3 linked regions of the Lonchura striata genome follow. The main gene of each other region encodes a partner of the protein of the gene in region 3 in a complex. Links are inferred from orthologs where the notes say so. Each region holds a gene or a part of one and is shown on either strand. Other genes may lie near its edges.

Region 1 (3,745 bases), on a different chromosome or scaffold from region 3:
GGGGAGGAAGGCAGCAGGAGTGAACCCGCTCAGGTGGAGCGATGCCACGGGATGGGGCTGTGGTTCAAGGGCTGTCCCCTACATCATCCCAGTGTGTATAATTTGGGAAATCACTTCTTTGGGTCTTTTTTTGTTAAAGAGGCGCCCGTTGGAGGGCAGAGGAGACGCGCAGTCCGAGCTGTACTTTTGACGAGTGGTGCGGGCAGAGCCGTTGCAGGGGTGGGGCCTCGTCCCCCGCCCGGTCCCCGGGGAGCGAGAGAGCGGGTATTGCGGGGGGATGTGTGGGCTGCGGGGGGTGCGAGGGGGCTCCGGGAGGGGCTGTTCCGGCTCGCCGCGCTGCTCCGCAGCTGGGAAAAGTGCTTCTTCCCCCGCCCCTTCCCCCCCGGCCTGTCCTGGTCGAAAACGCGAAGGAGGCAGAGCAGAGAAGGGGGACAGCCCGGAGCAGCCCCTCAGGCGGCGGGGGGACGCCCTGTCCGAAGCCCCTCTGAGCCGCTCGGTGCCGCCCAGCCGGCGGCGCGGGAGACACCGGTAACTTCACCGCACGCACATGACGGGCCCGCGGCACCGGGACGCGGTGAGTACCGGCGCGGGGGCGGGCGCGGGGGCGGGCGGAGGGCGGGGGCAGGGAAGGGGCGCGGCCGCGCGCCCCGCCGCCCCCCGCCGCCCCCCGCCGCGGCCGCCACTTCCCGCGGGCGTCGCTCGGCGGCGGGCGCTGCCTCCGCAGGAAGCGGCCCCGCGCCCGCCCCTCCCGCGCCCGGCGACGGGCACATGCACTGTGCGGCGCGGCGGCGGGATGGCTCCGGCTCCGCTCCCGGCTCCGGCGGCAGGCGCCGAGCCGCGGCCCCCCGCGCTGCTGCCGCTGCTGCTGCCGCTGCTGCCGCTGCTCCTGCCCGGCCGAGCCGCCGGCCTGGAGGTGCAGCGCAAGTTCCTCTCGCCCACCCTCACCAACAACTTTGCGCTGGACGGCCCCGGCTCCCGCGTTTACCTGGCGGCCGTCAACCGGCTGTTCCAGCTGTCGGGGGGCGAGCTGGCACTGGAGGCGGAGGCGGCGGTGGGGCCGGTGCTGGACAGCCCGCTGTGCCACGCACCGCAGCTGCCGCAGGCCTCCTGTGAGCACCCCAGGGTGCTCACCAACAACTACAACAAGATCCTGCAGCCGGACCCGGAGCAGGGCGTCCTTGTCGTCTGCGGCTCCATCTACCAGGGCCTCTGCCAGCTGCGCAGCATGGCAAACATCTCGGCAGTGGCCGTGCGCTTCCCGCCGGGCGGGAGCGACTCGGTCGCTGTCTTCCCTAGCATGCTGAACGTCGCGGCCAACCACCCCAACGCCTCCACCGTGGGGCTGGTGCTGCGCCGCGGCGGTGGCGGCGGGGCGCGGCTGCTGGTGGCCGCCACCTACACCGGCTTCGGCAGCCCCTTCTTCCCCCGCAACCGCAGCCTGGAGGACCACCGCTTCGAGAACACGCCCGAGATCGCTATCCGTGCCCTCAACGCCCGCGGCGACCTGGCCAAGCTTTTCACCTTCGACATCAACCCCTCCGACGACAACATCCTCAAGATCAAGCAGGGCGACAAGGCGCGGCACAAGCTCAGCTTCGTCCGCGCCTTCTTGCAGCACGGGGCCGCGCCGCCCGCCCGCCGCCCGTACGCCTACCTGGCGCTCAACACTGAGGCTAACGCGGGCGACAAGGAGAGCCCGGCGCACAGCCTGCTGGCCCGCATCTGCCTGGGCGAGCCAGCCGAGGCCACCCTCAACGGCAGCGGCGAGACCAAGAAGCTGACCGAGTCCTACATCCAGCTGGGGCTGCGCTGCGGCGGCGCCGCCGACGCCTTCACCCGCCTCGTCTCCGTCTTCCCGGCGCGGGCGGCTTGGCGCAGCCCCGCTGCCCCTCACGGCCCGGCCCTGGCCCCGCCGCCCCCCGAGGAGCTGCTCTTCGGCGTCTTCGAGCGGGCCGGAGCCGGCGGCGGCCGGGGCCGGCCGCAGTCCGCGCTCTGCGTCTTCCGCTTCGCCGAGATCGAGGAGACGATCCGGGCCGCCCGCAACTCCTGCTTCGTCAGCCCGGCCGCCGGCATGGTTACCGTGCTGGACAGCGTGGTGCAGGGCACCGGCCCGGCCTGCGAGAAAAGAAATATACAGGTACGGCGGGCGGCGGACACCTGCCGGGGCGAGGGGGCGCGGGGAGCCGGTAGCCGGCGGTGGACAGCGGCCGCATCTCGTGTCCCGTCCCGCGGCCGCTGCTGCCTCCACCTCTCCCGAGCTGGAGCGCATCCCCCGCGTCCCCCGGGCGGGCGGCTGAGCCTCATACCCCGCTGCCCTCCCCGGAGACCCTCTCCCCTGCTCGGGGACAGCATCGTTCTCCTAACCTGGTTGCCGGTGCCCCACTTCTCGTGGGTGCCCTGCGCGCCCGGATGTCTGTGGGCATCGCCAGCTCTATGTCCCGTCCCGCGGCGCACAGCCCTGCCAGGGACGGCACACAGGCAGCCTTGGCTCCCCGAGTTCGTGGCAGAAGTTTGCTGTTGTCACAATTTGTTACTGAGTGGCCGTAAATGTTAGCGCGAGACACAGTCGCCTGTTTCCCTTTTCACTAAAAATATATCATGCTTGGGAAAAAAGAGAGGGGAAAAGGGCTGCTTTAACGCTGCATTTTTACCTTCCTTTGGGACGAGTGCACAGCTCAGCTCCATCAAAGATTGTGAAAACATCTGTTTGATTTCAGAGGCGAGATCGAGCATTTGGGCTTGGGCTTCCCTGTGCAATGCCAGTGGCAAAGAGAGAAAGGTTTCCCATGGTAACCGAAGTGTTTAGTGTGGCATCTCTACTCTGTGGTAAAATATGTACTCTTAATGCACTTGGTTCATAGACCTACTCTAGCAAAGTTGAACAGTTTTTCCCTGGTGACAAAGTACAAGCTGCCTGACAGCCAGCAAATCTAGTAGTTGGAGCTAATTCCACAAAGACTGGGTGTGTTAAACACTGGGAGCTCAGTCCTGACATCTTGGCATGGTCACGGCTCTCAGAGGACTCACTGGGAGTCAGGAATCCTATTTACAGGGTGTGAAGGCACCCGTAGTTCTTGTTGGCTGTGGCTGATGCTCAGCATCCTTGCGGAGCAGCCCCTCAGCCCCGGGTGGGATTGAGCTCTCTGCCAAGGCGGGTCAAGCAGCAGCATCGGGGCTAGGGCTGCTGGAGGCACTTGAGGTGAACAAACAGCCTGGCCATAACTGAAACGCAGAGGCAGATGTACCCATCACCCCTAAGCTTCCCCAGGACTCCAGGACTGCTGTGGAGATACAGTTTTTTCTAACTTCTGTTCAGTAAAGAAAATAATCATGACTAACACCAGTCTACTGATGTTGAAAGTATCAAATGCTGTATCTAGTAAGGTATTTAGACAGCTAATTAATGAGTGACTCAAAGGAGACTACGCAAAGATGAGATTTCACTCCATCTTTGGTCCCAGCTTGTCACACTGTTCCACTGTAATGTGTGTTCTTGGTAGCACCTTTCCAAGTACTACCTGGGTAGGCAGGGAGGGGGACCAGGAGTGTGTTGTCACCATAAAGGCTGAGGAGGATGTTATGTTCTTGAAGGGATGAGCAACAGGAAATGAGGGTCAGGGGAATGAGCTAAAATAACTGAGCACTGCCAAGCCATTGGGAGTCAGAGGGAACCCTCTGTGTTTGCAACCATGGCAAGATCAGGTTGCAAGAAAATTTGTTAATGTAGAGACGGCAGTAAGACCAG
Region 2 (3,745 bases), on a different chromosome or scaffold from region 3:
AGAGTTATCACTCAGAGTTGTTATCTCTCGACCTCGTCCCTTTGGTTCAGCTGTTCTCAAAAACTCACTTCAGTTGAACAATTTTCCTAAGAGCAGTCCTACTGGGTCAGACAGCAGATCTGTTGTCTGCACTATGTTAATGCCTGAAATTAATATATAAATTTGATAAATAATTGAAAGTACTTTCCCAACCTATTATCCCAGCTCTGTGCTCAGCTTGGTGACACCCTGAGCTACTTCAGGTACTCCACACAAGTTAGCCTTAGTGGGTTTTTCTTCCATTAATTTGTCCGGCTGCTTTTAAAGTCCCTGTAAACTTTCAATATCCACATGCTTCAGAAAGGATTTCCAAAGCTTAACTAACCACACATTGGGTCAAAACCAAAAACACACCACTTTTGTTCATTTTGAACCTGCCAGCTTAATCATATGCTTTCACATTTTGTTCTGATAAAAAGTTAGTCCATACTCAACTTTGCCACATCACTCATAAGACTGTCAAAATTTCTAATACCTGAAATCTTTCCTCAGACCAGTGTTATCAAATACCACAAAAATGCAAAGGTTAGATTGGGTCACAAAGCCACTTCCACCCTGGTGGACCAGGCACAAGGAAGCACTATTTCACCTTCCTTATGAGAACATTATTGTTAATGGGTCAAAATACTGACCTATTATCAAAACAAAAGCACATGGCAATGCCGGAGGCTGAAAGACACAGTACTTAGTGCAGATTATAGAGGAATCTGACTAGAAATAATGGGGGTGGGGAAATTAGTTCAACTTAGAATTTCTGCCAATACTGACATGGTTTTCATTCAGAAAGCTATTCAGCCTCGCAGGAAAGTTTACTGCCTTTATATTTGCATTGCTGGCTTTATAGTTGTATAGTCAAAGGCATAACTGTGCCTTCACTAAATAGTTTATTAACTGAGACACATTAAAAACCCATCCACTAAAAATACAGTCAAGCAAAATCTTAATTTCTATGTTATTAAAAGCAACAACACAAAAGTTTGGGACTTGTGCTCTGATAATTCTGATAGTTACTCTCCCATCTTAACAACACTGAGATCTTTCTTTTGCAATTATTTTATAAACCATACATTTAAGAGTTAACTTGTGTGTTAGCAGTTTTATTATATTTAAACAAATACTGCAAGACATTTGCCTATACTTTTAAATTTTCATAATTAACATTTAAAAAATTAAAATATTTCTATTTTTATTAGGCGCTTTTTTTTTTTTCCGCTAAAAAATAAAGTTAAAAAAACGCAGATGACATTTAACTCGCGAGTTCATCTCCACCCTGTTAATTTGTCACACTTGTAAAAGAAGGAAGACTCAGTCCCGCAGCCAACCTTTGTACTCGGATGGCTGTGAACCCAGTCCATAGGCCGCCCCGCAGCCCGGCGATGCCAACTGAACTGTGAGGAATTAGGTCGCCTCAAAGGTCTGTTCCCTCCGGGAGCACCACAGGGCACAAGTCCCGACGTACTACTTCTCTGCACCTTTGTAAAAACAGGGCTGGCAGTCAGCAGTATTCGCTGAAACAACAGATGACAACCATCCTTTTACAGAAGCAGCCAGCTATTAGTTCAGCTACCTCCATCCTACAGGCCTTGGTGGCATTTACTAGTTCAAAACTAGTAAATTGGAGCCAAGTATCGGGCAAGCACCAACAGTACATTTGCTGCACTGCAGGTCGTATTCTAGACCATTAAGGAGACCGTTTCAAGCTTTCCTATTCAGAAACGGATGCAAGACAGAGGAACGGGGTATTGGATTTTAGTTGTACATCACGGTGACACACGCTGCTCTCCAAACCGCAGCCTGCAAAAAGTACTTCAAGCAGAAATACTCCAGAAGACGTTTTTCCACTGAAAAGACGTTTTTCCACTGAACTACCAGTCGTACTGTGTCTGGTCAGTAAAGGCTATAAAAATTTTATTTTCACTTACAAGGACGATCCCACCAGCACAGAAGTGTTTCTGAAGCAAGGAGGGGAGCCCAGCAGGGATGGAATTTCACAGAGGATGATACTAAAAAAACCCAAACAAACCCACAAAGGAAAGAATTTCCATGACAGCTAATTTAAGGAAGTAACGCGCACTCCGGAGGGATTCTGAGCTGCGGTTCCACAGGTCGGTCCCGAGGTGCGCTGGCCGGAGCGCTCCCCGCCGAGGGCCCGGCCCGCACCTGCCCGGGCGAGAGGGGCGGCGGGGGCAGCCGCGGCGGGCCGGGGGCCGGCGCCTCCCGCCGCGGGTAGGAGGGGCGGCGGAGGCGGAGAGGCCGCGTCCTTACCTGCTGCTGGAGGTGCTGCTGCTGCGCTCGGCGCCCCGCTCGCTGCCGACCCTGCCGCCGCCGCCGCCGCGCCGCTCTGCGCCGCCCCCGCCGCCCGGCACGGCCCGGCCCGGCCCGGCACGTCACCGCCACAGGGCCGGCCGGGGGCGGGGGCAGCGCCGGCGGGGCGGCGGCTCGGAGGCCGGCCCGGCCTTCTCTCCGCTCGGGCTGCCCGGCGGGAGCCCCGGCCCCGCGCCGAGCCCGCAGCCCGCGCCCTCCGCGCACGGTGGTGCTGAGGGGCTGGCCACGGCTACTTTGTGAGCTGGGCCTCTTCCATTATTTTTTACCGACGCGGTTGCATAAGGGGTCATTCCTGACCGTCGCCCCATCAAGAAAGGTGCCGAGCAGGTGGCGGCTCTCCTGCTGCACAAAGCTTGGAAGTCAGACTGTGTCAGCCCGGTCCCTCTCCCAGGCTCGCCCCGGCCCCGTGCCGTCCCTGCCGTGTCCCCAGGGTCCCGCCTGGGCGGAGGTTCCAGGGCTGGGAGCAGCGATGGTGGCACCGCTGCTGCGTGGCAGAACAGCGTGGCCTGCCAGCCCCGTGCCCCCTGCACTCCTGCAGGGCAGCCGGGGCAGCCTCGGCTCCGCGGGATTGCCCCGGCGTGTGCCTCACCCAGCCATCCATCCCTGCGGCTGCTGCGGCTCGGGGACAGCGGCCCGGCATTGCATCGTTGCATCATGCTCGGCCGGGGCGTCACACCGCTGGGGCTACCCACAGCCACCCCTCCCGAGCCGCAGCTCTGCGTCACCTCCCTGTCCCTTGGCTTTACCGCGATTCATTCCTGGCGTCGCCAGCTGGTTTGTCAGCTTTCCCGTAGCACCGTGCTTCTCTCGCCACAATGGTTCATGAGCAGCACAATGACCCCGACTGTACGTGCAAAGCCTCCTCGCTCTCCACCCGATGGTTCGTTCATACGTCTTTTGCTGACAAAGTGAAACAAACCAGTTAATACTTCAAAATCTTGTGTTTTCGTTGATTTTGCAGCCCCAGCTACCTTTCTTTAAGCAAGGTGTGTTTCACTGCATCCTTTTTGAGTGTTTGGACAACACCAGGGACGTTGTGGGTACAGCCACTAGCTAATAAATAATTTACATAGATTTCTTCAAGCCATAGCTGCCCATGTAGACATGATTGTCGTAACAACGCCTTAGCCTCTTTCAGAGGACAAAGAGAAATCCCAGGGGCTTCTTTAGGGGCAACCTAGAGAAACTCAGGGGGTTCTGTCAAGGATCAGAGTGGATGTACACATGGAAGGAAAATGGCAGTACATTAGATGCATGAGTAATCCTGCATCCTGTGTGGAGTACGGGTGGAGTTCAATCCTGCGTCCAGATTAACATTCCTACAACTCCTGAAATGTGCTGTGAACTTGTTTTGGTCTTTAAAACATTCCACATGACTGTC
Region 3 (3,745 bases):
CGGCGCCGTTGTCGGTGATGGTCAGCCCCAGCTGTGCCCAGGTGTGCCCAGGTGTGTCTCACCTATCTCAGGTGTGTCTCACCTATCTCAGCTGTGTCCCAGGTGTGTCTCACCTATCTCAGGTGTGTCTCACCTGTCTCAGCTGTGTCTCACCTATCTCAGGTGTGTCTCACCTGTCCAGGTGTGTCTCCAGGTGTGTCTCACCTGTCCCAGGTGTGTCTCACCTTGATGAAGGCGTAGCCGGCGCCGTTGTCGGTGATGGTCAGCCCCAGCGCCTCCTCGTCCTTCAGCACCTGCACGTCCTTCTGGCGGCCGCGCGTGTGCGCGAAGATGAAATCCTCCAGCCCGATCTGCCCGCCCAGCAGCTTCTCCATGTCCACCTGCGGCGTGTTCAGCGTGCAGAACAACACCTGGGACAGGTGAGCACACCTGGGGGTCACCCGAGTGTCACCTGGGACAGGTACACACCTGGATGTCACCTGGGGACATTGGGGACATTGGGACATTGGTGTGTTCAGCGTGCAGAACAGCACCTGGACAGGTGAGCACCTGGGATGTCACCTGGGGTGTCACCTGGGCAGGGACACACCTGAGTATCACCTGAGATGTCACCTGGGGCAGGGACACACCTGAGTATCACCTGAGATGTCACCTGGGGCAGGGACACACCTGGATGTCACCTGGGGACATTGGGGACATTGGGGACATTGGTGTGTTCAGCGTGCAGAACAGCACCTGGGACAGGTGAGCACACCTGGTGTCACCTGGTGTCACCTGAGTGTCACCTGGGGTGTCACCTGGGCAGGGACACACCTGGGGACATTGGGGACATTGGCGTGTTCAGCATGCAGAACAACACCTGGACAGGTGAGCACACCTGGGGGTCACCTGAGTGTCACCTGGGACAGGTACACCCCCGGGTGTCACCTGGGGACACTGGGGACAATCCCCCAGCCCGATCTGCCCGCCCAGCAGCTTCTCCATGTCCACCTGCGGTGTGTTCAGCGTGCAGAACAGCACCTGGACAGGTGAGCACACCTGGGAGTCACCTGGTGTCACCTGAGTGTCACCTGGGACAGGTACACCCCTGGGTGTCACCTGGGGACACTGGGGACATTGGGACATTGGTGTGTTCAGCGTGCAGAACAGCACCTGGACAGGTGAGCACACCTGGTGGTCACCTGGGTTGTCACCTGGTGTCACCTGGGCAGGGACACCCCTGGGATGTCACCTGGGTGTCATCTGAGTGTCACCTGGGACAGGTACACCCCTGGGTGTCACCTGGGGATATTGGGGACATTGGTGTGTTCAGCGTGCAGAACAGCACCTGGACAGGTGAGCACACCTGGTGTCACCTGAGTGTCACCCGGGTGTCACCTGAGATGTCACCTGGGGCAGGGACACACCTGGGTGTCACCTGAGTGTCACCTGGGTGTCACATGGGGTGTTACCCGGGGTGTCACCTGGGGCAGGGACACACCTGGGTGTCACCTGGAGACATTGGGGACATTGGGGACATTGGGGACATTGGTGTGTTCAGCGTGCAGAACAGCACCTGGGACAGGTGAGCACCTGGGGTGTCACCTGGTCAGGGACACACCTGGGGTGTCACCTCAGTGTCACCTGGGGTCTCACCTGGCGACAGGACAGCACCAGGGGACACTGGGACATGGGGACACTGGGGTGGTCAGCGTGTCATCCCAGTCCCTCCCAGTCCCTCCCAGTCCATCCCAGTCACTCCCAGTCCCATCCCAGTCCATCCCAGTCCATCCCAGTCCCTCCCAATCCCATCCCAGTCCATCCCAGTCTATCCCAATCCCATCCCAGTCCATCCCAGTCCATCCCAGTCCATCCCAATCCCATCCCAGTCCATCCCAGTCTATCCCAATCCCATCCCAGTCCATCCCAATCCCATTCCCAGTCCATCCCAGTCCCTCCCAGTGCTCCCAGTTCACCTCGCTGGGCGGGATGCCGAAGGCCTCGCCGATCTTGCCGTACAGCTCGCGCACGTTGCCGAATCCCATCCCAATCCCATCCCAGTCCCTCCCAGTCCATCCCAGTCCATCCCAATCCCATCCCAGTCTATCCCAGTCCATCCCAATCCCATCCCAGTCCATCCCAATCCCATCCCAGTCCCTCCCAGTGCTCCCAGTTCACCTCGCTGGGCGGGATGCCGAAGGCCTCGCCGATCTTGCCGTACAGCTCGCGCACGTTGCCGAATCCCTCGACGCGGCCGGTGGCGCTGCCGTGCGCCAGCTGCGTGTGGAACACCAGGCGGGGCCGCAGGCCGGGGGCGGGGGCCGCGCCCCCCGGGACCCCCCCCGGGGCCCCCCCGGGCTCCCCCGGGGTCCCCCCGCGCCCCCCGGACCCCTCCTCGTTCTCCACCAGCGGCGGCGGCTTCTTGCGGCGGCCCAGGCCCAGCGGCATGGGGGGCCGGGGGGGCTCGGAGGGGGTTTGGGGGGGCTTTGGGGGGTCTAGGAGGGGTTTTGGGGGGCTTTGGGGGGTCTTTGAGGGGTTTGGGGGGGCTTTGGGGTGTCTAGGAGGGGTTTTGGGGGGCTTTGGGGGGTCTTTGAGGGGGCTGGAGGGGCCTTTGAGGGGGTTTGGGGGGGCTTTGGGGTGTCTAGGAGGGGTTTTGGGGGGCTTTGAGGGGTCTTTGAGGTGTTTTGGGGGCCTTTGAGGGGTCTTTGATGGGTTTTAGGGGGTCTGGGGGTGTCCAGAAGTGGTTTTGGGGGGCTTTGGGGGGTCTTTGAGGGGGCTGGAGGGGTCTAGGAGGGGTTTTGGGGGGTCTAGGAGGGGTTTTGGGGGTCTAGGAGGGGTTTTGGGGGTCTAGGAGGGGCTTTGAGGGGTTTTGGGGGGCTTTGGGGTGTCTAGGAGGGGGTTTTGGGGGGCTTTGGGGGGTCTTTGAGGGGTTTTAGGGGGTCTGGGGGTGTCTAGAAGCGGTTTTGGGGGGCTTTGGGGGGTCTGAGCGGAGTTTTGGGGTCTTTGAGGGGTCTAGGAGGGCTTCTGGGGGGGTCTCAGCGGAGTTTTGGGGGGGCTTTGAGGGGTTTTGGGGGGATCGGTGGGGGTCTCAGCGGAGTTTTTGGGTTTTGGGGGGATCGGTGGGGGTCTCAGCGGAGTTTTTGGGTTTTGGGGGGATCGGTGGGGGTCTCAGCGGAGTTTTTGGGTTTTGGGGGGATCGGTGGGGGTCTCAGCGGAGTTTTTGGGTTTTGGGGGGATCAGTGGGGGTCTCAGCGGAGTTTTTGGGTTTTGGGGGGATCGGTGGGGGTCTCAGCGGAGTTTTGGGGGGTTTTGGGGGGATCGGTGGGGGTCTCAGCAGAGTTTTGGGGGGTTTTGGGGGGATCAGTGGGGGTCTCAGCGGAGTTTTTGGGTTTTGGGGGGATCAGTGGGGGTCTCAGCGGAGTTTTGGGGGGTTTTGGGGGGGTCTGGTGAGGTTTCGGGGGTTCTGAGAGGGGTTTTGGGGGGGTCCCAATGAATTTTGGGGGGGTCTGGGGGTTCTAGGAAGGGTTTTGGGGGGGTCCGGTGGAGCTTTGAGAGGTCCGGGGGGGTTTGGGGGGGTCCCGGTGTCCCCGGGGTGTTTTTGGGGGGTCCCGGTGTCCCCGGGGTGTTTTTTTGGGGGGTCCCGGTGTCCCCGGGGTGGTTTTTGGGGGGTCCCGGTGTCCCCGGGGTGGTTTTTGGGGGGTCCCGGTGTCCCCGGGGTGTTTTTTTGGGGGTCCCGGTGTCCCCGGGGTGGTTTTTGGGGGGTCCC

The links.
Region 1: the proteins of GIPC1 (region 3) and PLXND1 are in contact, whole or in part, in a crystal structure (PDB 5V6T), measured with the Mus musculus proteins. The link is inferred for Lonchura striata from reciprocal best matches to the Homo sapiens genes GIPC1 and PLXND1. Residues at the interface, in NP_061241.1 of Mus musculus: His61, Glu141, Ala142, Leu143, Gly144, Leu145, Thr146, Ile147, Thr148, Asp149, Asn150, Gly151, Phe156, Lys158, Arg159, Arg190, His191, Tyr192, Glu193, Ala195, Arg196, Leu198, Lys199; in NP_080652.2 of Mus musculus: Glu1400, Met1889, Glu1893, Arg1899, Gln1902, Gln1904, His1905, Glu1908, Ile1918, Tyr1919, Cys1921, Tyr1922, Ser1923, Glu1924, Ala1925.
Region 2: the proteins of GIPC1 (region 3) and MYO6 are in contact, whole or in part, in a crystal structure (PDB 5V6E), measured with the Mus musculus proteins. The link is inferred for Lonchura striata from reciprocal best matches to the Homo sapiens genes GIPC1 and MYO6. Residues at the interface, in NP_061241.1 of Mus musculus: Glu273, Ser274, Tyr275, Met276, Gly277, Ile278, Arg279, Asp280, Glu282, Leu283, Thr286, Asp310, Phe311, Ala312, Pro314, Glu316; in NP_001034635.2 of Mus musculus: Ser1055, Lys1056, Trp1057, Lys1058, Tyr1059, Ala1060, Arg1084, Arg1085, Leu1086, Val1088, Tyr1089, Trp1092, Lys1093, Asn1096.

Annotation. Positions count from the first base shown.
Region 1 is NC_134614.1:23,986,452-23,990,196, reverse strand, and holds the start of PLXND1 (plexin-D1), read left to right. Parts: upstream 1-793; coding exon 794-2,137; intron 2,138-3,745. UniProt on the Homo sapiens protein: Cell surface receptor for SEMA4A and for class 3 semaphorins, such as SEMA3A, SEMA3C and SEMA3E. Plays an important role in cell-cell signaling, and in regulating the migration of a wide spectrum of cell types.
Region 2 is NC_134605.1:82,985,975-82,989,719, forward strand, and holds the start of MYO6 (unconventional myosin-VI), read right to left. Parts: upstream 2,394-3,745; 5' UTR 2,305-2,393; intron 1-2,304. UniProt on the Homo sapiens protein: Myosins are actin-based motor molecules with ATPase activity. Unconventional myosins serve in intracellular movements. Myosin 6 is a reverse-direction motor protein that moves towards the minus-end of actin filaments.
Region 3 is NC_134623.1:2,226,224-2,229,968, forward strand, and holds the start of GIPC1 (PDZ domain-containing protein GIPC1), read right to left. Parts: upstream 2,428-3,745; coding exon 2,158-2,427; intron 411-2,157; coding exon 225-410; intron 1-224. UniProt on the Homo sapiens protein: May be involved in G protein-linked signaling.